2 linked regions of the Daphnia pulex genome follow. The protein of the gene in region 2 purifies or fractionates together with the protein of the main gene of each other region. This does not show direct contact. Links are inferred from orthologs where the notes say so. Each region holds a gene or a part of one and is shown on either strand. Other genes may lie near its edges. The genes, in order: tRNA (adenine(58)-N(1))-methyltransferase catalytic subunit TRMT61A-like and tRNA (adenine(58)-N(1))-methyltransferase non-catalytic subunit TRM6-like.

Evidence for each region.
Region 1: the proteins of tRNA (adenine(58)-N(1))-methyltransferase non-catalytic subunit TRM6-like (region 2) and tRNA (adenine(58)-N(1))-methyltransferase catalytic subunit TRMT61A-like purify together in Homo sapiens (affinity purification with mass spectrometry; 4 studies listed by BioGRID and IntAct, counting the BioPlex papers as one, with this or other methods). This does not show direct contact. The link is inferred for Daphnia pulex from reciprocal best matches to the Homo sapiens genes TRMT6 and TRMT61A.

Annotation. Positions count from the first base shown.
Region 1 is NC_060026.1:10,308,312-10,324,791, forward strand, and holds tRNA (adenine(58)-N(1))-methyltransferase catalytic subunit TRMT61A-like, read right to left. Parts: upstream 9,050-16,480; 5' UTR 8,920-9,049; coding exon 8,565-8,919; intron 8,480-8,564; coding exon 8,213-8,479; intron 8,152-8,212; coding exon 7,967-8,151; intron 7,904-7,966; coding exon 7,772-7,903; 3' UTR 7,694-7,771; downstream 1-7,693. Other genes in the region: fidgetin-like protein 1, read right to left, coding at 4,057-4,179, 4,253-4,466, 4,537-4,643, 4,709-4,823, 4,880-4,997, 5,058-5,102, 5,181-5,369, 5,438-5,651 and 3 more; NADH dehydrogenase [ubiquinone] 1 alpha subcomplex subunit 6-like, read left to right, coding at 6,888-7,023, 7,103-7,347; brefeldin A-inhibited guanine nucleotide-exchange protein 2-like, read right to left, coding at 9,488-9,628, 9,691-10,076, 10,155-10,531, 10,596-11,010, 11,085-11,214, 11,276-11,385, 11,455-11,860, 11,933-12,060 and 13 more. UniProt on the Homo sapiens protein: Catalytic subunit of tRNA (adenine-N(1)-)-methyltransferase, which catalyzes the formation of N(1)-methyladenine at position 58 (m1A58) in initiator methionyl-tRNA.
Region 2 is NC_060026.1:1,160,119-1,176,829, reverse strand, and holds tRNA (adenine(58)-N(1))-methyltransferase non-catalytic subunit TRM6-like, read right to left. Parts: upstream 10,235-16,711; 5' UTR 10,185-10,234; coding exon 10,093-10,184; intron 10,027-10,092; coding exon 9,589-10,026; intron 9,532-9,588; coding exon 9,358-9,531; intron 9,292-9,357; coding exon 9,009-9,291; intron 8,982-9,008; exon of another isoform or gene 8,945-8,981; coding exon 8,774-8,944; 3' UTR 8,728-8,773; downstream 1-8,727. Other genes in the region: uncharacterized protein LOC124204684, read left to right, coding at 1,647-1,752, 1,822-1,886, 1,953-2,078, 2,539-2,679, 3,032-3,115, 3,328-3,459, 3,520-3,641, 3,717-3,843; uncharacterized protein LOC124204686, read left to right, coding at 6,267-6,370, 6,449-6,548, 6,632-6,897, 7,008-7,191; uncharacterized protein LOC124204685, read left to right, coding at 7,994-8,569, 8,633-8,722; uncharacterized protein KIAA0930-like, read left to right, coding at 10,834-10,966, 11,032-11,192, 11,260-11,439, 11,504-11,605, 11,662-11,802, 11,875-12,013, 12,079-12,185, 12,247-12,415 and 3 more; NPC intracellular cholesterol transporter 2-like, read right to left, coding at 14,882-14,977, 15,049-15,251, 15,310-15,420, 15,593-15,695. UniProt on the Homo sapiens protein: Substrate-binding subunit of tRNA (adenine-N(1)-)-methyltransferase, which catalyzes the formation of N(1)-methyladenine at position 58 (m1A58) in initiator methionyl-tRNA.

The sequences.
Region 1 (16,480 bases), about 9.2 Mb from region 2:
TAGGCCTATAACATAAATAAGTTGCTTGATAACTTTACCAGTAACAGAAGAAACGAAATAACGAACATCTCTGATGTATTACTGACTTTGGGTTCCCGGATGTTCTAATTTGACGCACGTTTTCGAAGCAAACAACAAAACAGTGTACTTTAATCTTTTTAAATCTTATTAAACATTAAAATTGAGAATGGTAGTGATAAGGAATAGACGGTACGATGTCATCCGCTTCTACACTAGTCTTCGACTGTTTCGTTCATGGAATATTTAGGTTAGATTTATGTGTTTTCAAACATTGTTTGCATGTATTTTTTAAATATAAAGCTACGTGCTTCTACGTTGGTTTGAAATGTATTGCACGTTATAAGATGCTCCGAATATTACATGAATATGAGAGCATCGTGTATACTGGTTTGGAATGGTTATTCGTGTTTGATGCATGGCAGTACTCAATTTCCGTAATATTCTATAAAATTCAACAATGACATTGACATTTGTCGTTGAAAACAGCGTGAGAAAATCTTAATCCTAGTTCTCGACCAGCCAAAATTCTCTTGGAAATTGCCGGATACACGACGTGCAGAATGACGTGCTTCTTTTTTTTATTTCCCTTATAATTGTTTATTTATATTTATACTTTTTAAGGGTACGCGGAACAAGTTGGATGCTATTTCCAGTAAAGCGAACTCGGTCATCAGTCATTGAGTAAAACGGGAAAGATGTCGCAAGGCAATATTTTATCATTCTTTATTTTGTGGGAATCTGCTAAATAAATTGAAAACCTAGTCCAGTACCGGTAGTATTGTTCCGTTATGGTCGCATTTTTCTTTTTTTCTTTATTTGTTTTTCTATGCGTTTTATTCTTTTGCATAAAAAAAGTTATAGCATAATATTAAGCTATAGTTAGCTAATACATATGGCAATTGAAATGTCCCGGCAAAAATACTTGATCCACAGCCGGCCTGATCTCAGTCCCTAGATGATACGCTGCGTCCTTCTTTTATGTATATTTCTTTGCACTCTCTTCACATACACACGTCCACCTTACCTTGCAGAGTCTAGGCTACGGAGTATTACAGGCTACGGAAAATAAAGATTTCTATAAATGTGCAGAGCGGGAGGACAAAAACATCCAAAATAAATAATAAACAATAACAGAAATTATTAATTAAGCTACGTGATGCGTGAATTGGAGAATAAGTATAGCCTAGTGATCCTATTTCTATTTAAAATATGGTATTAATACCAAATTTACAATTTTTATGCTGACGAGTGAAACCGGATGGCAACGATTATGCTCTAAATTCTTGCAGATACGCGAGCGAGAGGCTGTTGGGATCCTATTTATTGGCTTGACGGCCGACCTTCGTGCTGTGCTCCAGTCCTGTCTCGTGTCCCGGTCCTGTTGAATTTGATTGAAATCTCTAGATTATTGAATCTCAGGCGTTCTCTTTCAATTCTTTTAATTTTATTGATTCGCTCAAATGCAAATCAGTTCTGGCGATCTCACTGGCCGAAAAGAGGTTATCCTTGAATTGGTCGTGGCTGTTGGTGACTCCTTTGAACGGAGAGCACGCACTGACCAATAAAAGTGTTTACTTTTTTTCTCATTTTCATCATTTTAAAAGTCACTTGGTTATTAGTAATATATATTTTTGATTGCATAAGTGGGTCCTGTGTATAAAGCATGGTAGAATATATAGCAGTGTAGAATCGGTAAAATTTTGAAAAGAAAAATGACAAGGCCACCAGGAGGTTCAATATAGCAAGTCTCGACACTGGAGTATCCTCCAGGGGATAGATTTTACCAAGATCTCTGGCAGAGGCTGGAAAACTGATAAAGGCACCTGTTGGAATTTAAAGTACTTGTTTTTCTTGTCGCTTCTTCAAAATTTTGATTTCTTCAACAGTTGAATTATCCGAAGTGGAATTAACTCTTTCAGTTGTGACATTCGACATTCACCTCCGATCTCCGAAGTCGCCTCCGAAACTATTATTGAATCCTGTACCGCTTCCTCCAACCATTTCTATTCCGCATCCTAAACAGCAAATGGCCCAACAGATGATGGGACTTAATCAGCAACCACCTCAACCAGATCCTCCAATCGCTCCACGCATTAATTCTCCAATGAATTCACCAGCTCCATCTCCAATGGTGAGAAAGAGGGATATTTTACTATTTGTTTTTGCATGTTTTTATTTAAATTTTTTTATATCAGATGGGCTTTCCCTCTCCTCAGACAAGTAATGGGGCTTCGCTACCCGTGTCGCAATTTAATCAAAGGAGTATCCAGGATGAACGCGGTGGTCAAGGCCATGGTGAACATCAAATGAACTTAGTTCCATCAAACAAAGAAAGGCATATGATGAGACGAAGCGTGGATAGACACCGTATGAGAAGGCAAATGGATGCTGTGCCCTATCCGTCCAAAGAGGCTTACGATTCTTATGTCGTGAATAATTACCGCAATACGATAAAGTTTATTGACATACACCCCTCATCCAGTATATACCACCTGATACCACCACGACTGCTGCCGCTCCAAAATACGAATACTACGTCCCACGTTATTGATTGCCATGTATTATTTTTTCAGGCGTATAAGTATAATATTTATGGATTTAAACCAGTTTCTTTGTTTAAATGTCAAGTTTCAGCTATCGCTGCCAGATCGCTGCTGTGGTCTAGCAACAGTGAGTATTGACTTGTTTCTCACTTGATCCAATTTCGACGACAATAATACTCTGGCCATAGCAACAGTGATATAGGTTATTCTATCAATATGTAAGTAATCCTGGTTACCATGGAAATGCATCAAATCAAAACTCTACAATGTGTTATACTATTCGGGTATTGCTGTTGGGTGTATAGTTTCAAGGTTGTTGTACTGTTTGCATCGCATGCGCAAGGATTAATCATGTTTCATTCCGAGTTCGACGCGTATCGCTAGAGATTTGTCAAGTTTCATTTGGTTGGTCAATGTCATAGTGACAAGATGGGTTTTAAATCGTTCATCTTTTCTTTGTTTATACTATCGTTGTTAAGGCCGTCATTTCAGCACAATGAACAACTTGTTCAGCTGATTCTCAGTTGGGAGGACGAAACTTGTCCTGGAACGGTTGTCGTTTTTGATAAACACTATTGGATGGAGGAGCACGCTTTGATTGACCAATTGGTTCTGCAATACTCGCGACCCCTTACACTTTTGCAAAGTTTCAGCAACTACGGACTGTTGCCGGATGACGATTCGTGGACCGGTGCAGGTGGGTCTCCGTTGGAAACACTCTGTAACAATATAATTATTTTCAATCGCTATCCGGCTGATTTAACGACCGTCTACCGCCAATTGACTGCTCGCTATCCCTACATTGGGCAAGTCTTGGTCGTAACCCCAAGTGCATCGGAGCAAGTCGAACGATTCCTTTATGAATTTAAAAATCACAAAATTATGTTGGTGATCAATCGACCTTGGCGTCATTTGGAATTACGCAACTGCTGTTGGGGTCCTGATCGTCGAATTCGGCGCGTTGATCTTCTGCCGGATTCAAGCGTTCGCTGGGAGGAATTTGGGCTTCGCACTTCTAGCAGGATAGCTGATAACGGACCGAAAGATGAAGATCAATTCACTGACCCATCTGTTTAGCTCTCTATTTAGTACTGAAAGAAGTTGAGTTCTGTTTGCACGAGCCTAAAAACAGAAACACTTGATTTTGATGTCTTAGTAAACAAATGTTTTATCTAGGTAGCAATCAACATTGTAGATGTCGCTGTTTATCTGAAAAAATGTATCGAGTATCTACTAGAAAAATTACTATTCAATTATATATTCCAAAGTTGATTATAAATACACAAAAAGAGACGGAAAAGATGAAGAACACGGATGAGAACGTAGAAGACGAGGTATTAGAACGCGAAAGAGGATAAATTTAATTAGATTGCGCGAAAAGGAGGAAACTGGAAGATAGAAAAATCCCTTCCAGAGACAGTGTGGCATAGTAATGGACGAAATCATATTTAATCTTTTTTATTGGTTTATTAAACACGAGGAAGGAAATATTTTATTTCGCTGCACTGCCGTAACGCCTGTTCCAGTCTTCGTAAAGGTCTAAATCTTGACTGGACACGCTAGCACGAACCTGACATAAGGCTGCGTCGAAATCTTCGTTGGTTATAGGGCGAACCTTAAATACGTATTATTTTCCTTTTACAAAATTGCTACGTTAAACACACACATTTACAACCGTAATAACAAACCTGGTCAGGAGATATGTGCTCAATATCACCCAGAGCAATGGAACGAATAGGTCCATAAGCAGCTTCTTTGCACAAGTGGGTCATATCTGCACAGGAATAGCCATCAGTGCGATTGCAAATATCAGCAATCTCATCTTCGCCCAGAACATGACGCTGCTCGGCCATTAAAAGATGAATAATTTGTTTTCTGGCTGTGAATTCGGGCAAGGGTATACTATTTAAAACAAGATTAAATTAAAGAAACTAGGGTAACAACGAAAGAGCAACATTCTTCGAATCCATACTATAATCGTTTAACTAATCGGCGCCGGGCAGCTTCGTCTAACTCCTGCGGTCGATTTGTTGCACCAACTACTAAGAGACGATCTTCCTGGCTCGTCGTTGCTCCATCCTTTAATTATAAAAATGTTGTGTATCACTTCAGCCTATAATGAAAATATTGGCAGGGAAATATACCAGTTGGACGAGGAATTCCGTTTTGATTCTGCGCGAACTTTCGTGTTCCGATTCAGACCGCTGCGATAGTAAAGAATCGATTTCATCAATGAAGATTACCGAGGGTTGATTCACTCTAAAAAAATTTCAGTTAAATAATCTGAATTATGACTTAAAATTTGTTTCGATAACCTTGCAACCGCAAATAGTGCTCGGACCATTTTTTCTCCCTCACCAATCCATTTGGATGTCAATGAAGATGCGCTGATACTGAAAAATGTTGATCGGGATTGACTGGCAATGCATTTACCTGTTAATTACCGAATTTTTAGATCTATCTATTTGTCTCTAAATAAGTGAATTAACGTACCGATTAAGGTTTTCCCTGTACCAGGTGGCCCGAACAATAAAATACCTGCAGTTTACATACTCTTTAAAAGCTGCCAAGCAAAATAAATGTCAAGTAGAAAAGGGAATACATAAAAAAACTTACCTCTGGGAGGACCTCTAAGACCAGTGAAAATATCTGGTCGCAACATTGGCCAAACAACAATTTCCTGGATAGTTTTCTTGGCGAATTCTAGACCGGCTATATCGTCCCAATTCACTGGCGATCCATTATCCATGATTTCATTCTCAATTAGCTCTACCATCCGTGGTTCAATATTTTTCAACCTTTCGTCTGTGAATAGTATCTAGTTAACTTCTAGTTTAAATAATAAAACAGTTTTTTAAAAACACAAGCTTTACCAACAACTTTTTCTTGTTCATCATTATTCCCAATTTTTTTCTTGTCTACACCGTTGTTTTCGCCCTCGTTTGATTTGGCATCTTTAATAGGAAGAATGAAAGGGCTATTTAAACCACGACGTTGGCCAAGAGACTTGGGACGGCAACCATAGGAAGGCGCATTCGAAGTCGAATTATTAGTTCCTCCCGCATTTTTTTTCTTTTGATCAAAAATCTTTGAGAATAGTTTTGAATTGGTTTTCATTAGTAATTTAAATTATGTAAGTGTATGTCAGTAAACTTACTAATTGTTCTTTGGCTGTACGGAATGGAATATTAGGTTTAACTGTCTCATCAACCTTTACTTCAGATTTCACAGGGTACCTGATCTGGGGATTTATAGTTGAATTTTTCTTTGCTGTAACATCCTCAGCTCTTCTTTCAGACACATTAAAACATTTCACTTGCGGATAAACTATTGGAGGTTTCTGTGTTGAATTGGATTTAAATTCTGGTTCACATGGCTTTAGTTTAGTAACCTGTAGTTGAGTGGATTTTTCCTCTTCATTCTTATTTTTTTCAAGTTGTACTGAAAATTCTAGTGTTTTCTCAAATTCTTGAATATTCTTCATTGTTCCTTCAGTTTTACTCAAGTCATTTTCAAGTGTCTGGAAGATACTTGTGTTACGAAGATCTTTTAGACTCCATTGTTTACTCTCTGAGATGTTTACTTAAAAAATTTAGTATAAGCTTGGAAACTAAAATCTTAGATTTACCATTTTTAAAAGAGCTTGCAAGTGCCAAAGCACCTTTTGAATAACTGTCTAATCCTCTAGAAAGGTCCTGTTCATCCACAATCTGGAAGTATTTGTGGATGTATGAGTTATACAGAGTCAAAGAAACTGCAGGATCTTCATCACTATAAGTATTTTTTAAAAATTAATTAGGTAACCAAATAAAAAATTAATTAGGTAACCAAATATAACCAATATTCTGAGATAAATAAACATACATATCTCCAGAGTTTGTTGAATAATAGAGCTGGGCTGCAATTTTCCGTTGTATGTCAGCTTTCTGGCTTGGGTTGAAATTACCACTTGTGGTTTTAATGTCTTCAAACATCAAAGACTCGAAAATATGTTGAAAATTTGCATTTAATTCACTCGTCTGATTCAGATTCGACATTGTGTCCACAAATTTATCCTGTTTGTTATGTTTCGTATTTTTGAAGCCGCATGGTTTTGTAACCAACGTTGCAATGTACACAACTGATTGAAATAACGGGACGAAATCGAATAAATTTTATTATTTTAAAAGTTCAAAAATAAATATATACATGTAATTCTGGGCACTAGTAAATTTTAATTATTTAAATTTTAATTCGGCAGCATTTGACATGAAACAAATTTGGTTACTGTTTAGAAACCACCTTCACTCCTTTAGATCACAACATTTCTGTTCTATTATCAAAATGGCTTCAACTGCTGGAACAGTTATTAAATCTGGAGTTAAACAAGTGAGACCACTGCTATCTGTCGACAATGCCGAAGCTCGCAAACGGGTCCTTAATTTGTATAAGGCCTGGTATCGTCAAGTCCCATACATAGGTAAATGATCTATTAACAAATTCGTCAATTCTATTGCAACAAATTATACCATTTGACTAAAACCCTGTAAATTTCGCAGTTTTGGAGTACGATATTCCGAAGAATGAAGCCCAATGTCGCGCTAAGCTGAGGGAAGAATTTGAGAAACACCGACATGCTAAGGATGTAAGAGTTATTGATATGTTGGTTGTAAAGGGCCAAATGGAACTTGTTGAAACTGTGAAGCGGTGGAAGCAAAAAGGACATGTTATGAACTACTTCAGGACACCCATCAATCCAAAACCCAATGATTTCTTGTCTAAATTTATTGCTGGCAGTGCCTGAGGATGGACCTGTCTGAGATACCAGAACATCTGTATAGCCATCTGTAAGGTGGAGTTAGTGTATAGATAATAATAAAAGAACAGCGATGTTGAAGGAAGAGAATTTTCATATTTTTCTTTTTTAGTATTAGATTCACAATATTTGCTGGCAATTATCACTCCACCACCATGTAAAATTTTTGCTGACAACATAGGGACTGAATTTCGGATAATAGAGAAACCTGAAATGGTTTTAAATGTACATGTCAATAATTGAAGAAAGGTCATTCAGTACTAGTTGTTTTGATTACAATTGGAATAAAAACCCAAATGCAATTGGAGTAAGTAAAGTATATTGATGTCTTTTGTAAGGTTGAATATTGATTGATGATGTATTTTCAGAGATGATTAATAACTTTACACAACAATCTTTTAATACAAGTTCATCATGTCTGGCACTTTTCTGACTGACGCGGCCACGTAGCAAAAGTAAGATAACCGGTGTGTCCTGCCATTTGTAAAGCTGGAAGTACCGCTCTAAATTTGCGATCATCTTTTTTCTGATTACCTTCACAGTTCTGTTCAAAAAATACACCATAAGTTAGGTACTCACACATTTTACACGAGCTAATTATAAATACCGTTTCTGGGGTATTACAAAAGGAGAAATTGTAGTCATCAATCTCAGGTAAGGTGATGTTTTTTACTTGGTACTCTCTCTGGAGGCATTCCATTGTCTCAATATATTTGAATCCTTCAGCCAGCAAACCTTCACATGTCTTTTGAGTTTGCTCAATACATGGGGAGAAGGTACAGATTCTTCCTCCTGGAAATCATAAAGGATGATTACATACATCATGACAAGCAAAATCAAATGGAAAATAAACCTGATTTTTTCAAAGCCTTGACAGCATGAGGAATTGCAAGCCATGGATTTGGAAGGTCTAAAAAGACTGCATCAGCTACATTTTCCAAGTCAAAACCATCCTTGCAGGCATCTCTCTGTTTGGCAGTAACAAATGGTTCCCATCCATGATCTGAAAATTCCTGTGTCACAATCTCAACTCTCTGTTGATGGAAATCAAAAGTATGCAAATGACCAGTGGGTGCAATAGCTCTTAAGATAGCATGAGAGAGAGATCCACTTCCAGTTCCTATGATTGATAAAATGTTTTGATAAAATTATTGGGATACTTATTCATTCAATTAAAAATTTCAATGAAAAATTGCACATAATACCTGATTCAACAATAACCGAGCCAGCTTTTAAATCCAGTTGCATTACAATCAAGCTTATATCAGGTGTGTAAAGGATTTGAGTCCGATGTTTAAGGTTTAATGTCCACAGTTCAGGTGTTGGATGAAGAAGATAACCCCAACCACGAGAAAATTGCACTTTATGTCCGAACTTTTTCCCTACAAGTTCCTGAACTTTTAAGGCACCATATGCAGTTTGAAAAATGTTTTCAACCATATCGCCTTTTTTAGTAGCAATTAGGGGTTTAACTTGTAAAGCATACATAGCTTGTGGATTTACATAAATAATAACAGTGTCCCCCTCTTCAACTACACATTTGGTGTTGGCGAAGCTCATTTTCTAAATGATCTTATTCTTTACCTTTCCTAACTAAAAAATGTGTTTGTATTTCAATTTTTCTTCAAGAAACATCCAAACACGTGTATTGGGATACTGACATGAAGTTTTACTTCTTGGGCACCAGATGGACTGGAGTAAGGGAAATGCAAACTTGGCGCGACCATGGCGCGACACTTAAAATGCGGTGGAAAATAATAAAATATAGCAAAAAAAAAACAAAAAAAAAACAGCTAGTATAAAAAAATCTAAACTTTAAAACACGGAATGGAGTCTGGGCTTATTATGTCATAATCGTTCATTTCATTCGATGTTTACGACGTTAGGTTTAAAAAATAAATCTAGTTTTTGTATTATCTTCTATTCTAATATCGTTTGTTTTAAAAGTTGTGTAACTTCTGAGTGTCAGTAAGAAAATATAACGATCTAGTAAACTTCAAATTCTTTTTATTTCTTTATCAAGGACGGTGAAGTGATCACTCGATACGGGAACTGGAGGTTTACATATGAGGGAGCAACTAGGGGTATAAATTTTCAAAGTACTAAACAACACCTAATAGATAAATATTCATGGAGCGGCGGCAATGACTCGGAATACTTGACCGACTTTGAGAAAAATCTTTCTAAGCAATGACCGCAATTCCGGTTTTAACTCGAAAGACACCAACTCACACAGAAGCTGATGCCACCAACTGACGTGCGTTTTAAACTAAAGAAAAATATACACACATTAATTAATAACAACCCTTGATAATTAAATTTAACTGTTACCTTTTCGTCAGTCAGTTGATTTATCTTCCACAGGAAAAGGAGCATAAGAGGTGACCATGCATCACGATGGCTCTCGGTCTCAAGAGTAACGTAGTACTCGAGGGCGTCCTTACCCAAATGTGTCAGTTTATCAGCTACCTTTCCCCATTCGTTTTGTCGCCCTTCGTCGTGGTAAAGGCGGAAGAGGATGCGCATGGCGCAAGCAAGACTTTGCGTTTCCTGTTTCAGCAAGTTTGGTCGGACAGGTCCTCGGAATCCTGCCTTCCATAATACATTCCTCTGCGTCGAGTTGGTGTTGAACTGGCGAGCAAAATTATGCGACTTTGCTAAGCAATCGACCATCAGCAACAGGTGCTCTGTAGACATGAACTGAAACATTCCTTGATCTATAAAAATAAATAGAAACAAAACGTTGTATAAATACAAAGATTGTAGAAAAACAAAACAAAAATATCACGTAATACCGAGATCAAGGTCTCTTTGGCTAGCCGAAATGCTTTTGGCAGAGGCGAGCAAATCCGCATCTTCTTTGCGAGTCGTAGAAGGGAAAAAAACGATGTTGTCAATGGTATGGATCAGCTCCAACTGGACTTGACACTGAACTAAAAGACCATTGAAGAGTCGCTGTGTATCTTTGACTCCACTATCCGTTTCAGCTGGCGCCGAGTGAGGGCTCCACGTCAATAGGGCATCAGGTAATGTTAAATGGAATATGTCATCAACACAACCACAGATTCGTAACCAAGAAGCATCACCCAGCTTGGGTCCGTTACTAATCACCAGGTTTTCCAAGCAATTGACACCTGAGCGCGCTAGTTGCTCATTTTCCTGGGTCACGCACCTGCACCAAAAATGTAACATGTATTCTATAAAAATACTATGAGCTTATGCTATTAAAAGCTTACCACAACAGCTGAGCGATAAAATCATCAATAAGCAATGAACCGATCAAATCAAAATATTGCGTGATAACATCGACCATGGCGTAGAGTGCGTGGTTACATGTAGTAGTAAGCCAGTCAGATTTTTCAGACAACTGATCCGGCAATTTCGATTGGTTGAAGATTCGAAAGATAACTTTAAATAAATCCTTCCACCAATGTGACCGGAACGTTGAACCGTATTGTTTAGCCATTTCGAAGAGAACAGTTAGAGCGCGAGTACGCACGTCTAGTTTGCAACGTCCGATGATGCAGCTCAACTCAAACAGAATGGGAAACCAACCACGGACCCATAGGCGTTCTTCCTCGGGAATTAATCCCAAGTTGGTCACAGCTGAAGTTAATTGGCTGTTGACCATGTCGTCTGCCAATTGGGCACCTTTAAAAAACACACAGATAGTTTAATATGTTGTTAAGTCAAGTAAACTTTCAGTGCATTTTTTTTTCATTTACCCCCATCGCGAAACAGAGCTGGTTGGTCGGCAACATGCCGACCGCACAGCCTTATCAAACGGATAGCCTCCATGTTAGTATCCGGGAAAAGTGGATTGCAGGCGAACTCGCTTAGGCACTTGACGCAATCCTATCGTATATCCAAGATTAATACAGACTTTCCAGTGGCATTATTATGATAGTATAATTACCTGGAAGCTATCGATCATTGCCGCCATGTTAGTTACGTAAAGTTCTGTTACAATTTTATTTATTGTTTGAAAAGCCAGCTCCACAATTGCTTCGTCGTTGTCGGATGCGGCTGTAAGATTTCGGAACAAAAGAGTATGAATTGATTCTTAAAATATGAACATTTCTATCATACAATTACCTAGTAGAAAGACACAAAATATGTTCTTCCATCCTGATTTGATATTATCTGATTGGCTATGAACCATTTGGGTGACACAACGAACCACCATATCGCGAATTGTGGGTGATCGATTGCGTTTCATGATGTGCTCAAATGGCCTGAGAAAATCTTTTTGGAATCGAAAATTTGCCAGTTCTCCCTTTTCAATGAATTTCATTGCAAGTTGTCGAAGTGAATCGACTGCGAAGAAAGCGATGTTCTCGTTACTACTCGTTCCCACTTTGTTAAAGTGGTCGCCCAAAACCTCCCAAATACGCGACCATTGCAAACGAATACGTCCCATATTGTAATAGGAGATTTCAACAATTTTCTGCAAACTGAACATGCGCGGCTGCGTAGAATGGGCCAACTCTTCAAGTGAGATCTGTTAAAAAAAAGGTGATTGAAATATCACAAAATTCATACCGGAGGCTCAGAAACTGTCAATAATAATTACCTGGCATAAAGCGCGGACAAAATCGACAATAGCATTTCCGTCCAACCGGGTAGAACCAGTGAAGATCCGATCCACTGCTACCACCACGCTCTGAGAAATAGTTTCCCCAATGGACTCTTTGACACTAGCTGCATTCAGAAATAGATATATGAAATATTTTAGGGGAATGTTTTTTTATGAAATGCTTACGTTCGAGGGAGTTTATACTGACGCTTGGCAGATCAGACAGATGTAGATTATTACCCGAAGAAGAGATACCTGGTAAGTTCAAATTCAAATTCATGGCGCCCAAATTCAAATTCAAATTGTTGCCTTGACAAAGAACAGAAACAAAAAACAAACTTAGGCCACATATACGGGACAAGACAAACAGTAAGCCACATATAAAAAAAAGCCAAAATATTTTTACCAGCTAAATTGGCACCTGTTGGTGTAGTCGGAGTTCCAGTAATAAATTGCGGTCGAACTCCAGTGCCTATCAGCTGAGCCAACTCCAATTGGCTAATACATTTAAGGATGTCAAGCCACGAGTGTCCCAGGTAATTTCCATCAGTATGGGCGACTGTTATGAGAGTCTTGATCGTATCTATGTTTTTAGTTTTTATCTCAGTGATCGGAGAGTTGGCAGTCAATAGAGTAAAGCGGGCCAAGGCTTGAATGAAAGCATCTCGTTCAAGAGCCATATGAAAGATGCAGGCTATGCGGATGGCACAGCGAATACCATCCAGACACAGAGTTGACACTTCCAGATCATCGCAATCTTGTAGTCCTACACTGAAAGAGGCTAGAAAAGGTGTCCATGCAACTTTGAACATGGGTCGAACATGCTCCGAGTGCGTAGCTGATGTAAAGGGCGAATGAACGTGACTGACAGACTCCATTAATTGGCGTGCAGTCGAAGACAAAGCTTCCATTTCCATGTTCCACAAAAGACGACGTTTCTTTTCATTCGCTGTCCCTGCTAATTAATTACTAAAAGTAATCCCTACTAATTGAATTCTTATTTACTGAGTAATACCTGACTTGCTAACTTTGTTGCCTAAAGCGTTGGACGCATGAGCCTTCATTTTGATCTCGTTTCCAGCGATCTCATCGTAAATCTGACTAAGATACTCTTCAGGCAGATCCTAAATTATTATCAACAAGACAGTGATGACGGGAATGTAAAATAATGTTACGCTACGAAACACCTTTGAATCGTTGATGCCACGATTGTTCTTAATGAACTGTTCCTTAGTCATCTTGTTCTTGACTTGTGGGGAATGAAGATCTGTCGTTAGCATGATGATTGAATATGCCAGAACGTAGGGAGCATCAGCACTGGCGAATAGTCTAAGACTGATAACAAAAAATCAAAATAAATTGTATACTCAACATCACATAAAAAAATATCATGAGTTAAGAAACCTTGAATTGCATTCACAATAACGAGCAGCAAACTTTTCCATAAGCCTGTCAATTTTTTGGGCTTCACCGGGTAGTCGAAAACCCTCCAGAAAGTGACGCAGGGCACTAACGAAATCTTTTTCGTTGAAATCCAGTAAATCAACGTAGGCGTACATAACCTCCTTATTAAACTTGTCGGGTTCTCCAAGAAAGTCGCCGACTACTGTTTTATCCAGTCGTTCCTCCGTCACTAGAAAACGCGCCACGTCAACTGCTTCTTCCCCAAGAAGCTTCTGCGACTGCAAGTATTGCAAGCCTCTCCTAGATTTCCGATTAAACCTGTAAAGGAAACATCGGCATTACAAAAATTCATTTCAAATAAGAAGGACGAGAGATTTACAGCACGATCCCCTGTTCCCATATTTCCTTTTGCTGCTTGATGGCTTCAAATTGTTTTGGAGTTGTCATAGTGCCGTTGACGTAATTTTGGCTTTCATTTTCATCTGTGTGGTTTTCTTTTATTTTCTCGGCGTCTGTGTAAGAAAGTACGTTATAACGATAATGATTTTTTGAAATACTTGTTGTAAAAGACGAACCAATGTTAGATTGCGCATTAGGATTGACATACAGCTCACGACTCCATTCAACCATACACTTCAAAATTGTCACAAGGCACTCGAGGCCTTTTATCCGTAAAGCCTTTTCTTGAATTGGCGTCGTCCTTAGGTCTACAACATGCCGCCCTTGAGCGATCTTCGACAGTACATTAACTAAGCGCTCAAAGATGTTGGCAGCAGACAAATCGCAGTCATAATTGACATACAGGTCTACCACACTCTGAGCGTCGGCACAGATACGCGTTAAAGCTTGCATAACTAGCCAGTGGTGGTCAAAAGTCGAACCAGGATTTTCTAGAATGTTGAGAAAGATCTCCCGGAAAAACACCTAAAATCAAATCAAGAAACACAAATAAATTAAACTTGCACAAAAATAATCAGATGAGCTACGTACTTCAATTTGTTTTTTAAGTTGTGCCTTAAAGTTGTTCAATAATGCGAGAAAGAGAGCTAGGGAAAGCTCAGCTACTTCGGTTACGCTAGAGGCTCCGTCGCGACTGAGTGCTACGCACAGGCACTGCCGGACTACAGATAGAAAAACAGGATGCTCGCGAAAAACTGGGCCGGCATTTTGCACCACTGATAAGAGAAGTTGTAGAGACAAAAGTTTGGACCGCAGCTCATGAGATCTAAAAACAAACAAAAAACGTACTAGTAGAATATCCCAAAATGAATAACCAGGTTTACAGATACATACTTCGGATCTGGAATGCCGTCGGGCAGAGGTTTCATGGCCAGCCGACAAAGTGAACGAAATACAAGATATGCGTCTTTTTGCAAAACGTGCGAGAAGCTATTGGACGTCCCAATCGGTTCTAAGTCTCCACCACTGGAACTAGTGCCACCAATAGTGTCAACACTGTCTTGCGAGGGCACTCGGGGCAGCGATGATGAACACACTGAAATAATAGATGGAGGAGCTCCTCCGTTGCTCTGACCTCCTTCGCTTTGCGTGTCTCCTTCAACTTCTTTTTCAGCGCTGGCATCTAATATAAAAGTTGAATTACCAATATGTAATAAACTTAATGATTATTTTTAAAATGTATCAAACCGTTGACGGCTGTTGCAACGATGTCGTCAACAATTGAAGAAACTATTTCGATAGCTTCTAGTTTAGTTTCTCCAACTTCGGCTTGTTCCAGATTGTTTTCCTGATTTGGGAAGGCTGCTTCTTCTTCAATCTAAAAATAAACAAAAACAAAAAAACAAAACAATCTAATCAATCCATCAAATGAAATCAATTGTAGAAACTCACAGCCTGATTTTCCATTCTCATAAAAATAACATTCAACATTTGTGTCAATGTTGCTTTAGCAGTTGTCTGATTAATCAGATTTTTGCTGGCCAGATAGATATTGTAACAAGTTCGAACTGCCAGAAGTAGAGTCCCTTCATGGATTTCCACATGCTGAGATGTGACTACAGTTAATAAGGCCTGCACACAAAAAATTAAAATTAATAGAGAATCAGACATTCAACATTGGAATAGCTTTTTACTTTAATGATTTGCAACTGAACACTTTCTTCAGTAGGTGTTCCAGTGAAACATGCGCATATGGTTGCAACCACCCTGTCTATGAGACGCCGCTGTGGATTATGTGGATCAAGTGATGTTCCACTTAAATGGCCATAAGCAATGAGTTTCTGAATAAAGATGAAAAATATAGTCTTACAATCATACAAAGTTAGCAATGCATTTTACCTGTAAGCAATCTAATGCAATTACAACAACCCTTGGAACTGAGCACTGGCAAGCTAGTTCAAACGGAAGGTAATGTTTTTCTGCATTGATTACATTTGCAGAGTAATTTCGTGGAAGTGGAAGAGCAGCAGAGGTGCTATTTGAGCTCTTTTCATTTTCTTCATGTTTCAGTTCCTCTTGTATATCCTCTGGTAGTGTAAAACAAAATTAATTTGGGTTCAAGTTAATTCATTATTTAAAACTTACCTAGTGCTGTTTCACAAGCTTTCCTTAATTGAGCCAAGTGGCTTCGTTTGACTTCTTTGTCGGCGAGAATCTTTTCCAAACCTTTAACAATAAACATTTTGCTGAGATCCCCGGAAAGGATACGCATGATTTTCACGTGCACAAATGATACATTATTATTTCATAAGTAAGTACAAACAGCACTCGAACTCGTGGGTGAAAAAATGTACACGTTTGCAATAATATTCCTATTAGAAAAAGCCACACATCACTAGAAGGAATACACAATCAGTTTTAGACCAGCTGTTTTTGACGTGTCTTGTCATCAACTCCAGCAAGGGTGCCACGTATATATATTTGTCACGTTGCAGCATGGATTCGGATTCGGTATTTTGTATAGGGCTGTTCGACATCTTTTTTAACATTTGTTGCCATCGTGGCAACGCAGCAACTCATGTATTTTTGTCTGCTACGAGTGACTTGTGTTTGTTCTGCGAAATATGAATTTTTTTGAAAAATAGTGATAGAAAAGGGGGTTGTTTTGAAGTTGTGATGTGTTTTCTTTATACATTAGTTCGTTATAGTGTTAGTGTTTAACTGTCTAGTGTAATGTCACTG
Region 2 (16,711 bases):
CTGGGGTAGCATATGATGGCCCACAATCTAAACTACTAGTATAGGTAGTGCACATTTTTATTTATTGTACATCATCAGAGAGAAAGAGCCTTTTGGTTATAGTCTGTACTCATTTTGTCATGTTTTGAAAAATAGAGAAGGTCCGCATGACATAAACACACGAGTGGCCTACATCCCAGTATAAACAAAAAACCTGTTCTTCTAAATTTGGCCAGGTAAATATATACCGTATAAATCTTCATCCAGGGATCTCTGCCCAAGGTGTGGCTACTAACCGTCTGCATTTGTTGCCTCCAAGTAACGAATTGTCCTAATTGATTGGCTTTAAATTTTCACACTCGTTTGCAGTTGGCTGATTTTTGCTTCAAAAGTTACCGCGCGACACTAATGAACTAGAGCCGGCCATGTCGTTATTTTACGATATAGGTTGGTGTTATAGATGTAAAAGCGTGAGAAAGAAACACGTGGAAGGAAAACCCAAAACAAGACGGACAAAATTTCTATATAGTCTCCCGCTATAATACCAAAGTAAGAAGATGAAACTAACAGAAAACGACTTTAACCTCACTATATTGTTATCTTTCCAAAGAAAATGGGGTTGCCGTTTGGGTGGGCGGAGTTTGAGATAGTCACGTGACTTGTTCTTCAAGAAAAGAACCTTCTCCACTTGCTGGGCTTGCTGTTGCCTTTTTTCCTCGGCATATAAAAACGACCGAGTAAAGTCTTGGCCAGCGTTCACTTACCAACCTCAACCCAAGGCGTCTACTCTGCAGCTCCGTGAATTGAATTCTGAATTTGATCTTTGATTAGTAAAAGGTAAGAACAAATCAACTCACATAAATTCCTCAAATTTTTACAGATTCTATACGAAATTTCCCACTTTTTAGTCGTAGAAGTTGCAAACAAAATCCAGGAATGTCGTTTTCCCATTTAACGGTAAAATTATAATAACAAACTCGCAAGTTATTTCGTCCGTATTTACAGTTTCCGATTTAAATGAACGAATGGGTCGCTAACCTTTGTCCCTTTTGGTGTTTAGTTTTCGTTTGTTTATCCTCGTCGCTCGAGTAGTTATGGAGTTTAACGATAGTTTGGGTTCAGCATTTTCAATAGATGTCTTGAGGGAAGAGAAAATGAGGAAATTGGGAGTTTGGGCTACTTATTCGGGGCCACATGACACAAAGAGAAAAGAGGGCATGGCGTTTGCATCCCTCCCCCAAACGAGAAGAAAGCCCAAAGGGGGGCGAATAACAATTCAGAAGAATATCTGTGTCAACTCCACCGTGAAGTGCTACACCAAAAATAACGGGAACCGATTCCGCCTTTGGTACATTGTAAAATTTCCGGTACAACGAACACGAGGAAAATTAATAAAAAGGCCGAGGGTATTTCTACTGCAATCCTCCCACAACAATCTGACGTATTATTTTTTCGTCGCACCTGTTCGCTGCAACTCGGTTTTTTCCGGTTCTTGCCCGTTACGGAAGGAAAAATTCGACGAACTCGGAAGTGTGCGGCATGACTGTCGGATATTCTTGTATCTTTATTTCATGAATTGGCATATTCAACAGTCAATGACTTCTAACCGCAAAAAAATGTGAAATTTAATAACCGAATCGAATCTTTTTCTATAGGTAAATATCACAATGGGTCGTCAAAATTTAGGATGCTGCCTGGTTGCTCTAATTGTCCTCCAGCTGGCACTTCCGGCTTTGGCTCTTCCTCAGATGTTCAACAAATTCGCTGAACAAGGTAAATATTTTCTTAAAATAAATTATCATCAAGTTGATTTCATTAAATATTCCTTTTGTTCATTTACAGGCAGGAAATTCGCCGTTAAACCCAACTCGAACAAAAAAGTGATTACCGAATCCAACGAAATTGCGGTACATACAATTTAAATTTACAGTTATTTAAACAAGATTGATGAAGATCTGAATTGATTTATGCAGCCGACCGAACAGCAGAGCAATGGCGGATTCCAATGGAGCAACATTTTGGGCATGCTCATCCAGATGTTTTTGGGTGGCTCTTCCGGCGGAATTGACAAGGCAGACTCTGGAGTCAACGCAGCTCAGGTACACAATTAAAAATCCAAGGACAAACCAACCAATTTTCAGGGGATTAGTGTGGGCTTTACAGATTCTCTCCCAGACTTTGTTTTGGGTTCTTATTTTATTTTTTAAAATTTCCTGAAATCAGACCGACTCCGGATTAGCGAATATCTTTATTATTTCAAGTCTGAAAGCAGCACCAAAATGATTCCATTTTATAGCTTTTCTGGCTCTTTCTTCATCTCTCTTTCTCTCTCACACAATCCTTGGCTTATCTTTACAAAAAGAAAATTCCTTTTTTTAAGTGATTTTGATTTGAAAACGTTACAAGAAAAATCCAGACAGCCGCACACTCTTTACTTTACTTACTGAATTTTTCATTTCTTTTTCCTATTTTTTCGCTCATTTTTCCCCCCAACAATTTTCTCTTTCTCTTTTTCCTCGCGTACGAACAATATAAAACAAAAAAAAAAAAAAAAATCAGGGTGGCTTCAACTGGATGAGCCTGGTGAACTTGGGCCTTCGTCTGATGCTCTCCACTTTGAATAACGGCGGCTCGGGAGTTGCAGGGGGACTCGACAAAGCCGATTCCCAATCCGGTTCTGCTGCGGCTTCTCTCTCTCAGGTATATCTCTCCACTATCATCTTTTAAAGCCGCTCTTTACACACACACCACACTTTAAAAATTACCAACCTTGTAATCGTTATCGATTCAATTCTTCTTTGCCTTTTTCTCAAACTTAACTCAACTCTGGTGGCTTTTGAAATTGGGTGGGAAGGGAAGGCTTTTTTGGTTTCACATTCTTCGACACTACTACGACACACACAAATTTGGTACCAATTAAAAACCGACTGACCCGATTATAATTTTGCCCATCACGTTGCACCACCAGCAAAAATTAATGACACCAAAAAGAAATTCTGTGTGATAAAAACAAACCAACCAAAAAAATGTCAACCAATCACAATTTATGTAGGGTATGCTGTTGCCTCTGATGGCCAGCTTCTTGGGTGGTCAAGAAAAGGCCGATGTCGCCTCATTGGCCAAACAAGCCGGCAACGTAAGTGTCTGAAACAACAAAAACCCAAATGACAAAAAACTAAATGACGTGACATATCCTTTGGACTACTTGACTGAATCTATCCCTTAAAAAAAAAACCTTATTCTCCTATCATACACACGAATGACTTTTGCGCGATTTGACATTTGCCAATTTTTTTAAATTTGGAATTCATTTTTTTTATCTAATAATTTATTTTTGTTTTTAAATAGTTGATCCAGCTCATTTCCAGCTTGATGGATGCCCTTAAAGTTAGCTTCTCTCAACGCAGTTCCACTGCCCGATCCCTCGGAAGCAAGGACCCATTCTCTGATGCTGCTGTCGCTGCCGTCACAATCATGAAGGTAAATTCGATTAAAATTAATTTGAAACATTTTTGTTTAAAAATTGATTTGATTCAATAGGGATACGTCGATACCCACAAAACCACCGATGAGGTTTGCATGCAACGCATCATGTGCGATGCCAATAACGCTTGCGCTCGTGACGCTCCCGATTCCGGCTACCTTTTCTGCCAGCTCGGAACGTAAGTTCATATTTTTAAACAAATTTGATGCTTAAAAACAAAATTTAAATCTAATTTATTTCAATGAATTTATAGTTATGCTGCCAGCTACTTGTTGGAAAAATCTACCTTCACCCCATTGGATGCTTACACCCAGGCTGGCCGACAGGGACGTACTGGCGAAAGCTGCGCTCAGATCTACTCCCAGTGCAATGAGCTCTAAACAACGAAACAATATTTGATTGATTGAAACTTTATACTCCGTTTTTTTTTTTTTCAATTTTTATCCTCCCAACAACAACAACACAAATGATAAAACCCGCTCTAATAATTCCCTAATTTAAAACAAAAACAAAAACCTCCAAAATGTGAAGAAGAATTTGATCTGAATTTGATTTGATCCAGCGGGCTGGAACCGCTTTTTAATTATATGTGAGACTATTAAAAACCAATGAAGAAAATTTCTTGTTGTCTTTATAAAATTAAATAATTCCTCTTTGATGCTTTTGTGATGGTTTAACGAAAAAAAAGACATAAATTATTTCGAAAAGAATTTCAACGTCTTTTATTTTTGCACATAATCGATAGCAGTGAGCTGCCAAAGAATTTTGTGGTATTTTTCTATCAGAATTTTATTTTGTTTAATGACGGAGAAAATTGACTCTGAACTAAGTGACATCTGTTGGAATTGGTATTAACCACTTGGGGTATACACGATAATAACAGACGAACCAAACAGAAACACACCTGAAGAGATTGAAGGTGAATAACCTCTGTGTATAAACCCCTCAGGTTTTATTTTGGTTGGGTTTTCTTGTGGTGAGAATAAGGAGGAACGCGGAAATGACCGTCGCTATGACTTGGCTAAAGGAGAGGATATTCTCCCAGGTATACACTCGTTCTTTTTTTCCATCGAGTACCTGTCTGTTAAGAAAGAAAAGTACCGTTAGTCCGACTTGGTTATTCCTCCCCCCTCCACCTTTCTTATTCTTTCTCCTGTCCCTCTCGTGTTCCTTTATGAAATTCCTGCTGTGAAGATTGTTAACTTACTCTACTTGTGCTTTTGGGGGGTTTTGTTACGAAAGCATGATGCAATTCCAATTCATTCAGTTTTAAAACGGGGGGTTCAACTATAGGCATCAATCACAAATCAACTGGTTCGATGCAGGTCTGATTGTTTTCATTGGACCTGCATCAGCAAAAGGGCATTGAACACATGATGGGCTTACATTTCTCTGATATTTTTTTGTGCACGAACGACAGATGGCCGTTCCAAAAAAAGCCTCAAAATAACAAAATTGAACGCAAACAACAAAAAAATGAACGAGAAAAACCAAACCCCCGGCTAGAGAGTACAACAACCACATTATAAACCATTTTGAGAACAATTCGAGTAGAACACGACATACGAAGTTTAGGATGAATAAAACCCGTTATGGTCAGCGAACTCTGTGTATTTCCCTCTTCAATGGCTTTCTGATTCTGATACACGGAGAAAATATAACTAAAACGTTCAATACGTTCTTTAGAGAGAAAATGTTGCTACAATTCATGTCAAATTGAAAAAAAAAATGTTCTCAAGTTACGGTTTTTTATTTCTTTGTATAGTACCTTCGGGAAAAAACACATCTGGAAAACAGTTTAACTATTTTTTCGAGTCCTCGATCTAAACCGAAGAAACGGTGAAATAAGACAAAAACAAAATGAGGACAAACAAGTTTGTGACGCTCACGATCTTGTGCAATCCGCTACTATATTTCTTAACGAAATTCTTCTGGGAATGATGCTGCACAAAAAATATCCCTATTGCTGTGACCTACAAGAGATATGCCATCATCATCTTTCTCAACTATAATCCGGCGCCTTGAATGGATACAGCAAAAAAAGAGTTAAGTCGTCTGCCAGTATTAAAATTTTTACAATGAGCTTATTGATCCTTTTTTTATTTATCTTAGGCTCCTATATGAAATTTCAAGTTGTCCCAAGGTTAAGGGCATCAAGTTATACGAGTCTCTCCTATTACGAAGAAAGAATTTCAAAGTCAAGGCGTGTTATATCAACTGTCAACGAACTCTCCGTTTCGTTTTACCTGCGTGAAAAATCCATGAAATGGAATATTCGCACCACATAAAAATTTATTGACCAGAACTTCTCCCCCCACACACACATCAATCATCGAGCTCAACGATCCGTTTCTATCTCTTTGTCTTATCTAAAGAAGAAATAAGGTAGTATATCTTTAAATGGAAAAGAAAATTATTGGCTTTTCCCCCGCCAGGGTTTGGTGCAATTTTCTTAGCTTTGCCCGGCTCCACATCTGTTCCGGGTGTACTGAGCTCAAAAAGAAGACGAGGAAAGATATGGCGAAGAAGAATAACGGCTTATCGTGGCTGCTGTCTGACGGCCCTGGAGGTACACAGTCGGTGCGGATGCAGAGGTGTTTCACCTATTCATAGTCTCTACCTGTTGGATGGGTGCACTCAACGGCAGACGGTGGGGTTTCGTCCTCCAGCTAAAAAAGACGAGCACTCGCAGCTCAGAGGATCAGTTGACTCTTGAACGTTCTACCGTGCACAACACAAGAAGAAAGCAAGGAAAACTTGAAATTTGAATCATAGAAAATTCTTTAGAAACTTAAAAAAGAAAATGAAACTCGCAGTTTTGGGTTCCCTTGCCGCTGTTGCTGCCACCACAGTCATGGCCAACGACCAGCAATATCAACACGAAGAACACTACGAAGAAATCCCAGAGTGAGTTTGAATTTTTGATTTTTTTTAAATTTTATTATTTCTTTTTTAAACTAAATTTTGATTGCATTTATCTTTCAGGGATGAAGATCCTTTTACCAGCAGATCCCTTGCCAACAGTCCCGTTCCTCTTCCCGTCCTGGCCATGTTGACCATGATGAATTTCTTCAACGCCCTCCAGGTACTATAAACATTTCTAAAAAACTTTTAAGTTATTCCTTATTTTTTCCCAATTTTAAAATGTTTCAAATTAAAATTAATTAGGAGGACTGGTCTGAGGAGGATGGTCGTGATGGAGATATGGATTCCAACAGCAATCCTGGCCGATTTTCCGGTGTTTGGAAGAGAATGAAGGGAGTTCCAGGCGTATTGTACGAGACTTCCTCAATGATGGCCCCACTGACTCTTCGCTACATGCTCAGCGAGGACTCTGATCATCCCCACTGCCAACAGGTCATGCTCTGCGAGTTGAATGTCAAGGTTAAGCAACGCTTCGGCAAGCCCGGAGAGATTGCCATGCAGTTGGCCAGGTATGATTTAATCTGTTCATTATTCATTCAAGGAGAAAAACCACAGACATGGAATTGTAATTGATTTCCCGTTTTCTTTTCTTTCTCTGTGTCTATTCTTCCGTGAAAAGTTCAATGGCCGGTTACGCCTTGGGCGGTAAGGACGCACAGCGTTACGATTCTTTGGTGGATGCTGCCCGTAACGGACGCCGTGGAAAGGAATGCCACGAGCTCTACCCCAAGTGCCCGGCCCGTAGCGATGGCTCAGCTGTTCCGGCTCTCCTCAACTTGGCCAGTCGCCTCATCAAGAACTAAAACAACCTGTCCTTAACAACAACAACAACAACAATTTGATTATTTATTTTATAACCCATCCCGGCTATTTATTATCTCGGCAAAATTCTTCGACAAAATTAATCATTTGATGAACAAAAAAAGAAACATTTTTTCGGTGCATCGGTTATGGTGCACAAAATAAGGACATTAAGTGCATGGGGGAGTATGGCCGTCCAGGGTGTTTGGTTTATAACTTTTTCTTTTGTCAACTTTTATAAGAATTCTTACTTAACAACAACAGCAGCCCCACACTCAAATGACGGATGTTATTATTGTTAACTTTGATTCTCTTCCCACGGTACCCTATGTACATATTTAAGTGGTATGCGATTTTAATTTATATTCGATTTATTGGAATGTCGGCAACAATTTATGTGCTGCTTTTACCTTTCATTCCAAACACAAATCACCTGCTTCAATGGCTGTTGAAAATTTTGAAATACATTCGGAAGGGATCAAAAGAAATTTTGATTTCTCTTTAACGTAATCGAATCTAATCAGTTGTTATTCAATTTCTTTTTCTGTTCGTAAAATGAAATTTAAAAAATAATGAAAAAAAATATATTTTATTTGTTATTATCGGTAGCTAGATGGCACTACAGTTTTGTAAACATCGTCTACACCATGGTCTGCACTCTGCAGTATTTTCGTCAAGGCACAAGGCGGCATGGTTTGGCTGTTAAGTTTATTTCTCTTTTCGTTGTTAAAGGTTTAGTGGGTTTAGTTCAATTTGTTTTCCGTGTTACCAATAGTTGTAAACGCATTCTTGTGTGAAATTGCCATGCTAGCTTTTAAACATCTGGTAGCTCGAACAGCCCAATTCTTAGTCAGATCAAATCGATGTCGCAGAAGTACCCGGCTATTTAGACCTTTGCAGCACGTTCTAAATTTCAGTTTGGCTAGCGGTTTTGTCGTTACTTTCAACGATGATGAGAATCAGGAAGATGAAGTGAAAACTAAAGTCAACGTAGCTGAACCTCAAGAATACAGCAACATGTTTAAACTTCAACAAGCTGCAAACAGTGCTGTAGACTCCTCAATATTGGTTTTGTCTAGTTCGTTTCACACATTCCAATTCACCCATCAGATATATGTGTCATTACTGGGATCTGCTATAAAAGCCCTCTTAACTAGTATTGAGGTTGGCCCTGTCATGGTCGAAAGGCTGGGAATCGAGGAACACATTTCTCAGTTACAGTCAGAAATTTTCCACCAAAAACAGCAAATAAGTGATAGCCTTTATGTTTACAATGAATCCACAAAATTGCTCAATCAAGCGGCTAATATATCTTTCCTGGTGGGCAATGAAGTTTCATCTGGTTTAGCATCCACTCATCTACACAATGTTCAACAAGAGGTATTACATAATTTTCTAAACTGTTATTTTGGTTTTTTGATTAAATGTCCCATAACTTATCAGGTTGACAAGATGAAAAATGAAGCAACACAACTAGAGACAGAATATTTGGAATTGCAGATGCAGTATATAGTCAAGTCCCAGTCAACATGAAGAGGTGAGTAGAAGATTCTTCTTTTATTTTAACAAATACAAACGACACTTTCACGAGACAACTTTGATTCCAGAAAGGATATATCCGCCGGATCCACTCATGTTCACTTCGGGATGTGTTCGAAGCGGTAAAACTTGGTGAGTCCTGAACCAGGTTTCGGTTAGTTGCAGATTGACGGCCAGGTTGCACTCGCGGAATTGTATGTATGTTTCACTCAGTGGCTTAACGAATGAAATACAGTTTGTTAGTTCTTCATTATTTTAAATCTCAAAAGTTTTGTCTTACCTCGGAGTATGGACTGAAAATCACAAAATTGCCAGATGGGGCCAAAAGTTTCACCAGTTCCTTGGCGATGGTGGTCGGTCGACGACAGACAATTACCATCCCGTCGAGTGACCCGAATTCCAATGGTGGCGCAGCATCTTCGTCTAATTTTATCATTTTGGCCGGCACCTCGTCTCCATCCGCATTCTCTTCTTTCGCAAGCGTTTCTTTCAGTTTGTAGAGACTGCAGTTCTTCAGGGGCTTCAACTGCTCCGGAGTAAAGTTCATCGCTTGGATCACTCGCCTATTTACAACATAGTTGATTACTCGGCTGAAATATTTAGAAAATTCAAAAAGATTTGCAGTTTACTTTTGCGGTGTTCCTTTTAGGAACAGGTTCCAGACAGTGCCGTGCCCTTGAATTCTATCCAGAATAGCAGCTGTGACTAATCCTTGACACCCTCCATCAAAAACACCAAACTTGCCGTTGCTCTTGATGTTGGCTAAGGACATAATCATCGCAAGGGTGTCGGGACGTAAATTCCTAAAAATTATTAAATAAAATTATTATCCAATTCTTCACTGGAAAGGAAAGGCTTACAATATTTGCATGGGGTCTTGGGAATGGAAGTGTTTAGCCAAGTGTCTGATATTGGGTTTCAGAATGTCAACCCATTCAGAATATTTTTCCTCTTTTTTGTTTAGATACTTTTCCTGTGAGAATTCAGTCTTGATTTGGAAAGTTTTGCTGTTTTCAACTAGTTGTGTGACTATTTCACTTCCAGTCAACCCTTGACCTCTTAATTCTTCAATATCTTCTTTCTTCAGTTGTTGAGATGTGCCATCATCCCAAATTTCTTTATTGTTCTCTCCAGAGTTGAGGTCTTTCATTTTATCTTTCATCTCCACAACCTCATCTGATGGTTCAAGTGTAAACACACTGTTTTTGCCATCTTTTTCACGTACAAGCTTGAAAGTCCCATGAGGTTTTCCCACCACAGATGAGATATCGACTTTATCTCTCCCAATCTTAACAGTCCTTTATCGAGAAAAATATTGTTCATTAGGTTAAGCTTGTTACAAATGTAATTTAAAGGTGACGTACCATTTTTTGCCCTGTTTCTTTGGCAGCTGGTGTAGACTCACTTGGCTTTTTCTTTGAACTATAACAAATTCATCATTTTGGACTAATTCCATTATTCAAAAGTTCAGCAACGTTTTCAGATGTAAAGACAGTTGACAGTTTCGTCACAATACCACTCAATGAGAACAGAAGTCAACTATTGATTGAACAGAGATGTTGAGGTAGTGAACACGGTTTAGATGTAGCTTTTTATCAGATTTTAATCAAACTCGAAAGAAAACGACTAAATCAGTAGTTACAAAACGCATGTGCGATCGGCGCCATGTGATTTTTTTATTTTATTTGGAATGAGCAGACGACACATTTTTGACATCACAGCGGTGTCAATTGTATTTTTGAATCAAAAATACAATTTTTTAATTAAAAGTTTTCAAACATAATAAAGCGAAAATCAATTAAAAGTGAATAAAATATTCGTTTCATTTTCAGCTATGTATGTGTTATTAGAAACTTTCCTGAAAAATAAATAGTTCGACGTTGCCTTCAAATGTCAACTGTGTCAAAATAGACAGAAAATATTGAACCTGTTTGTTTTCTCAAATGTCACAATCTCATTTTGTCTCTTAGATTATTACTAAGCTCTTCAGTAATGCATGTTCTCTTTTGGGTGTCCATCAAATCAATTTGAAAGCATTTCAAACAATTATCAATGCTCCAATTATAGATCTTCAGTAAATCTGACATTCTTTGCAATCAGTCATTATGGCTGTTAGTTGGGATAAATTGAGTTCCATGGTAGACTCTGTTAATACTCGGTCTCCTAATGCTTTGGAGCAGCTATTGGAAGAAGTCAATTTTCAAAGGAGAAAGGAACGGAGAAAATATGTTAGAGAAGGTAAATGCATATATTTATTTTCCGTTGAAAAATTTAAAAGTTAAAACTAATTTTCTATTATTTAGACTCAGACTTTGTGCTCCTTCATGGAACACCATACTGGACTGATTTGTTTGTTCGGCACTTCCTGTTTGAATCAGATCAAAGTATTGATGCTGATGATCTCTTATTCTTTGTAAGAAAAAAGCTAATCAAAGGATCAACACGATTTCTAATGAAATTTGAGGTCAGATCACTTATTAATTCCACATTTAAAGTAATCATCTGTTTAATAAAGTGTTCATCAATTTTAGACTGAAGTTGAAGTTTTCCGTCGCGATAGTAAAAAGCTACCCATTGGAGATCCCGACGTGGCGTGGGAGGAGACTTTATATTTGAACTTGATCATTCATCAATTTGATTACATGTTAACCTTGGCAGTTTGCACAAGAACAAGCCCTAAAGATCTTCAGGTTTTGAAGCGTCATTGTCAAGTATGACCCAGATAATTTGCATTTAATAAAAATGTATGATAACACTATTGATTATTTTTCACAGAGGGTGTATGCCTCACCTAGTCGTAGAAGAATGGACGTTAAAGGTGATTTAGAAGAAATTACATATCCCAACATTTGTTTTATGGTGGACAATTTTGACGAGGTACTTTTTAAGGTGCAACAAAGTTCATTCAGTTTATTAATCCACTTTAAATTAAGGTTTATGAAGATATGCTCGTAAGAGATGGCGAGATGGTTTGCGTCGAACTTGTTGCCACCAACAGACGTGGAGTCCCTCAGGGAGTCCTTTTCTTGGGCTCTATTCGTTACGAAGCCTTAAAGAAAGTCTATGATTCTAGAGTGAGTAAAAATTTAGTTTTAATTTTGCGGTATACTATTTTATTTACAAAAATTTTTCTGTTGAAATTAAAGGCTAGTTTAGGTACAAGAGTCGCCCAAAAGTTTTCGATGGGTTTATGGAATGGAGCAAGTACACATCGCATGGAGTTTGTTCGCATGAAAGGTCCCCAAGGAAAAGGCCACTCAGAAATGGCCGTAACAAAGCCTAAAAGTTTGTTTCAGATGATCACACAGCATATTATTTTTATATCTTATTAATCTCTTGCTGGTTCGCAGGTTCTGGGTTAGACACCCCATGCTCAGAACCAGGCTTTAGCGCCACAGAGCTTTGGGACGCGGAGTGGGATTCTGAGCCGGAAGACTTGTGCTCCAACACCCGACAGGTTGATAGAAACCTTTTCTATAGCCATCGATCAAAATCTCAATAATTGCTTGTTTCTTTAGAGACGTTTGAGCGAGCCAAGTGGAGGTATGCCAATCAGCAACCGTTGTCAACGACCCAACACTAGTCATCAAATGAACGGGACTACTAACATGTCCCGCTCAGAGAATGAAGGTCTTGATAAGTGCAACAATACTTGGAATGAGATCGAGGCCGGTGATGTTCGAGACGGTAAGTGCATCTACACTTGAATCACGATTCTACACTTAAATCACTGTTCAGTTTTCTTTTTACTCGGTATACTTTGATGTTGTTTTTTTTTTTAACCCTGCGTATGTATTAACTAAATTTAACAAACATTTCTGTTAGGTTGTATTTTTGCTCGTTAAATATTTTATGTCGCATGCCAGTCGCTTTCTTTTTTGTGTTGATTGTTATTGGCATCGTTTTTGGCTGTATTATATCTACTAGGCATGCTGGCTGAGGAGCCGGAGTCAACGGACGTGCCCGGCCGCAAGACGGGTGCGACGTTCAAGCAGCTGGTGGACGGAAACCGAGTTCACTTTCGTGACGGTCAGTCGGCTCGGTCCAGTGAACCTGCTGGCCCTCGCACCGGTGTGCCATTATTATTTTTCATAAGCTTATTTTGTCTTGCTTTCCCTTTGATGGTTTCATATACTATTACTGTTTCAGCGTTTTTGTGAAGAGAGTTCTTGTGTTTAATTTTTCTTTTATTCCAATGATTTCTTTTTAGAATTGGACGATGGAGTGTGTAATCCACTTTGGACTATGAAAGGATTCACCCAAACCTTCCATTACTTGAAAGAGTCACGACGTGCTCAGTCGGTGCCTCTTAACGCGCTTCTTACTTACGTCACTGTCCCTTGGTATTCGATTATTGCCGGTAAGGGAGTAATTAATTAATAATGTCTTCAAATAGAATTATTTTTCTATCATTTATACTCATTTTGTTTCAATAGATATTTTGGACCATCACGACGCGCCTACCCTTACTTTCTAGCATACTCAACCACTTTCTTTCGGCATTTTTGCTATTGTCAAGGATCTCTTCTATTTTCTAGTTATTTCTAAGTCATTACTGTTTGTTTGTTTTGATATCAACAAAGGAAAGGGCCCGTCTTCGGTCGAAGATGCGGCCCGATGTTTCACAATCATATTCTAGATGTTTGCTTATTTTTCTTCAAGATAATATTTTTTTTCTGTTAAATTCATGGTACACATGAAATACAATTGTTTGGTGAAGCAAAATTCAAAAAAAAAAATGATTATTTTTTAAAATTAGGATTGCTTTAATTTGCAATTTGGCAAACTTGTTTTGTCACTTAAGTTTGTCTGCTATTGGAAAATTCAGTTTGATCGAAGTTTGCGATTTGCAATTTTGCATGTCCTGACTCCTGAAAAGGTTATTCTTTACGAATTTTTAAATCACGTTTTCAACAGTAGAGACTTGCAGCGTTGATGTGTGAGAAAATTCTTGACCATCTGCACAGTTGATTGGCGGCGTTTTTATTTTGGGCGAGTTTTGGGCTTAGCCAACAACGAGGAACGAGGTAGGCTAATAATGCTATAGTATTGATGGAAATTTTGTTCACTTTAATTGGACGCCATCAAATGTAGCTAAATTTATGGTCAATTATGGGACAGTTTTATTACATTTAAGTAAGGAATTTGTTTTGTCAAAAGCCACTGAAAAGTGACAACACTTTGAGCAACAAAAAGTGTTTTACAAGTGACGGCAAATCCTAAAGCAGATCATGTTTGAATGTGAGCTGTGATAATAAGCGAGACATGTGCCTGTGTAAAATACTATTTCTGATGATCTATCTAGAATCTAGATGACAACCAGCATAAAGCCTTTTTATGTTTTATGTGAAGCTGATTGCACCTCCACTTTGTTGTATTTATGTATGTAGGTGACCTTGTGTTCATTCGTCTTCATACATTCGACGTATTTTATTTTATGTACGTTTCTCAAACGTGACTATTTCTCTTTCCTCATTCAGGCCTCACCTTGACGACAAAAAGTACTGCCACGTGGATATTCTTCAGCACTAGATCGCCTACTGAGCTTACTGACTGATTATCGCCAGCCAGCATTAGCCATTTGTAAGTTCAGAACTATATATATTTTGTTGTTGTAATAGTTATTCTGTTATATCCTCTTCGAGACAACGATAATGTTGAAAAAAGGTGGTTTAATGAAAAACAAAATTAACGTAGTTTTCTTTAAGAGTTGGCGAAGTTGTTTGTTTTCCAGAAACACCAGCTAAATGTTACCGAATTAGTTAAGCGAACTTTCCGAATACTAAACTGATTGCAGAGAATCGAGCCATGTAAAAGTTGATAAGCGTTAGAGCGAACCGATATGTTTTTATCGAATGGGTAGGGTCTTGTTTACCTATAATTCATCCACACAACCTTTTTGTTTCGTGTATTAGAAAAATGCATTGTTAAAGCTAACATATTGACTCAAATAGGAACTTTTTGTTTAGTATGGTGCAGACAGACAAAGTTTTAAATAGAACCCAATCCAATCCCACAGGATATTATAAAATGATAAAATTAGTTATGTTGTTGTTTAATAAGTGCCATTACCATCTACGATTCTAAATGCAACTATCCACTGATTTTTTAAATACTAACCCTCTAGGGTTATAGCCATGAAGTTGATTTCAACTATTTCGATCGCACAAATTTGGCTGGTACATTTAAGCAGACGATTGTTTTGTCGTCGTCATCATAAAGTTCCCACTGAATGTTCACGTTTTCAGCCTGTCAAGTAAAACAAAATGTAGAAAAAAATTAGCGTCCATCGCCTAAAAATGAATCATTTTTCAACGTACCACTGGGTATTTATCTGAGATAGAAGTAGTTTTGGAGTAGGTGTAAACCTCTTTGGCATTCAATTTGCAACCGACGGCCAATCCGGACTGTTTATTAGTAATGCTGGGACAAGCCAAACTCTCTTTCGATTCCAGATCTGGCAACGAGATATCTCCAATGGTAACAGCAGCTCCGGTAGTGATGTCGCTTTTAATGTTGGTTGCTTGAAACAAATTAGGAATAAGGAATGCGTTTCATTAGCTCCACGAATCGATATTTACCTGGAATAAAGTCGAACTCGACAGTTACTTGTGATCCTCGAGTCAATTGACATGGAAGCGTTTGGCAGTCGGATACGCGCACCTCCAGCACGATGGCGGTCATGTCATTCCCTACCAAGAATAATTCAAAATTACGTCTCAATATTTATCAGAATTCAAACTTAAATTGTTCGACATTTTTATATGGCCGTATTTAAATTTCGATCTCCATCAGAGAAAAATTCAGAACAGTCCGACGTAAAATCAAGATAGGGCGAAATTAAAAGTTTGTAAATGTTCTTACCGAAACAAGGATGAACTGATACACGATACAGAGTCTTGTCTGCATGGGCGTAAAAGGCTAGAACGATGACTAGTACAGCGATGGATCTCATTTGAAGAGCCATTGCTGCTGTTGGAGCTTTGCAATGCTTCCGGACGCTCAGTCAAACAGGTCTGATCGTCCTTTGAACATACTGTGCTATTTTATAGAGCCTAAAAAGTTGTTGAATTCGCGTCAATATCCATTCGGTTTAGTTCTCGATGACTAAGACGTCCATGGGCGGATTTAGTTCACATGTGTTCAACAATGTTTCACAAGTGTTTCTACCTTTTAGAACCACGTCGTCATTTCTCGCATTTTCAAAGTATTCGTATTAGTTTCGGGTTGGAATTGGGACAACTTTGAGTTGCAGTAATTCACTTATTCGTATATTCCAATTCAAAGTGCTTCAAAGTAAAACCAAGTAACAACTTTGCATTGCCCTGGGGGAGGAGACTATTTAAAAACGAGACCGGTAACCGGATAAGGTTTATCTTTCATCAGCAAGTCTAACCCGTACGTCGCAATGACACATTTTTTTTTCACTCGTGTTGTTGTTGTTGTTGTGCATACGTGCGCCACGCGTCGAAAGGATCGCGCATGAACGATTTCACCAGATGCACTAAATGGGAATAATCGGAACGCAACTGTCCTGCACTTGTCGATGAGCGAGTTGGATTAAAACAAATTTCAGAATAGCTGAACAACTGAAATGTTTAGTCGTTCAAGCGGAAACTAGAACGGTTGGGTTTTAATATTAAAATTGTAATTCATAAGATAGGTATAAGTATTTGACTCGCTTTAACTTTAAATCTTCGTGCTTTCTCGTGTGCATTATGTGTATCATTGGTATTTCTTTTTTCTCTGAAATAATTTTACCTTTAAACTTCTTTAGGCATGCAGTAAAAGACACCAGAGCCAGAATAGTAGACTGACCGATGTCGGGAGAAACGCGGGATCGAACTTTTGCAGTTGGCGGGAACGCGTCGTAATTTGAAAAATAAACGAACTGATTGTAGTTCTGCCCGGCCAGTAATTGGGGAAGCCCGCCAGCAAGAAAACAGTAATATCAACCACAATCAAAGTAAGTCACCAACAATA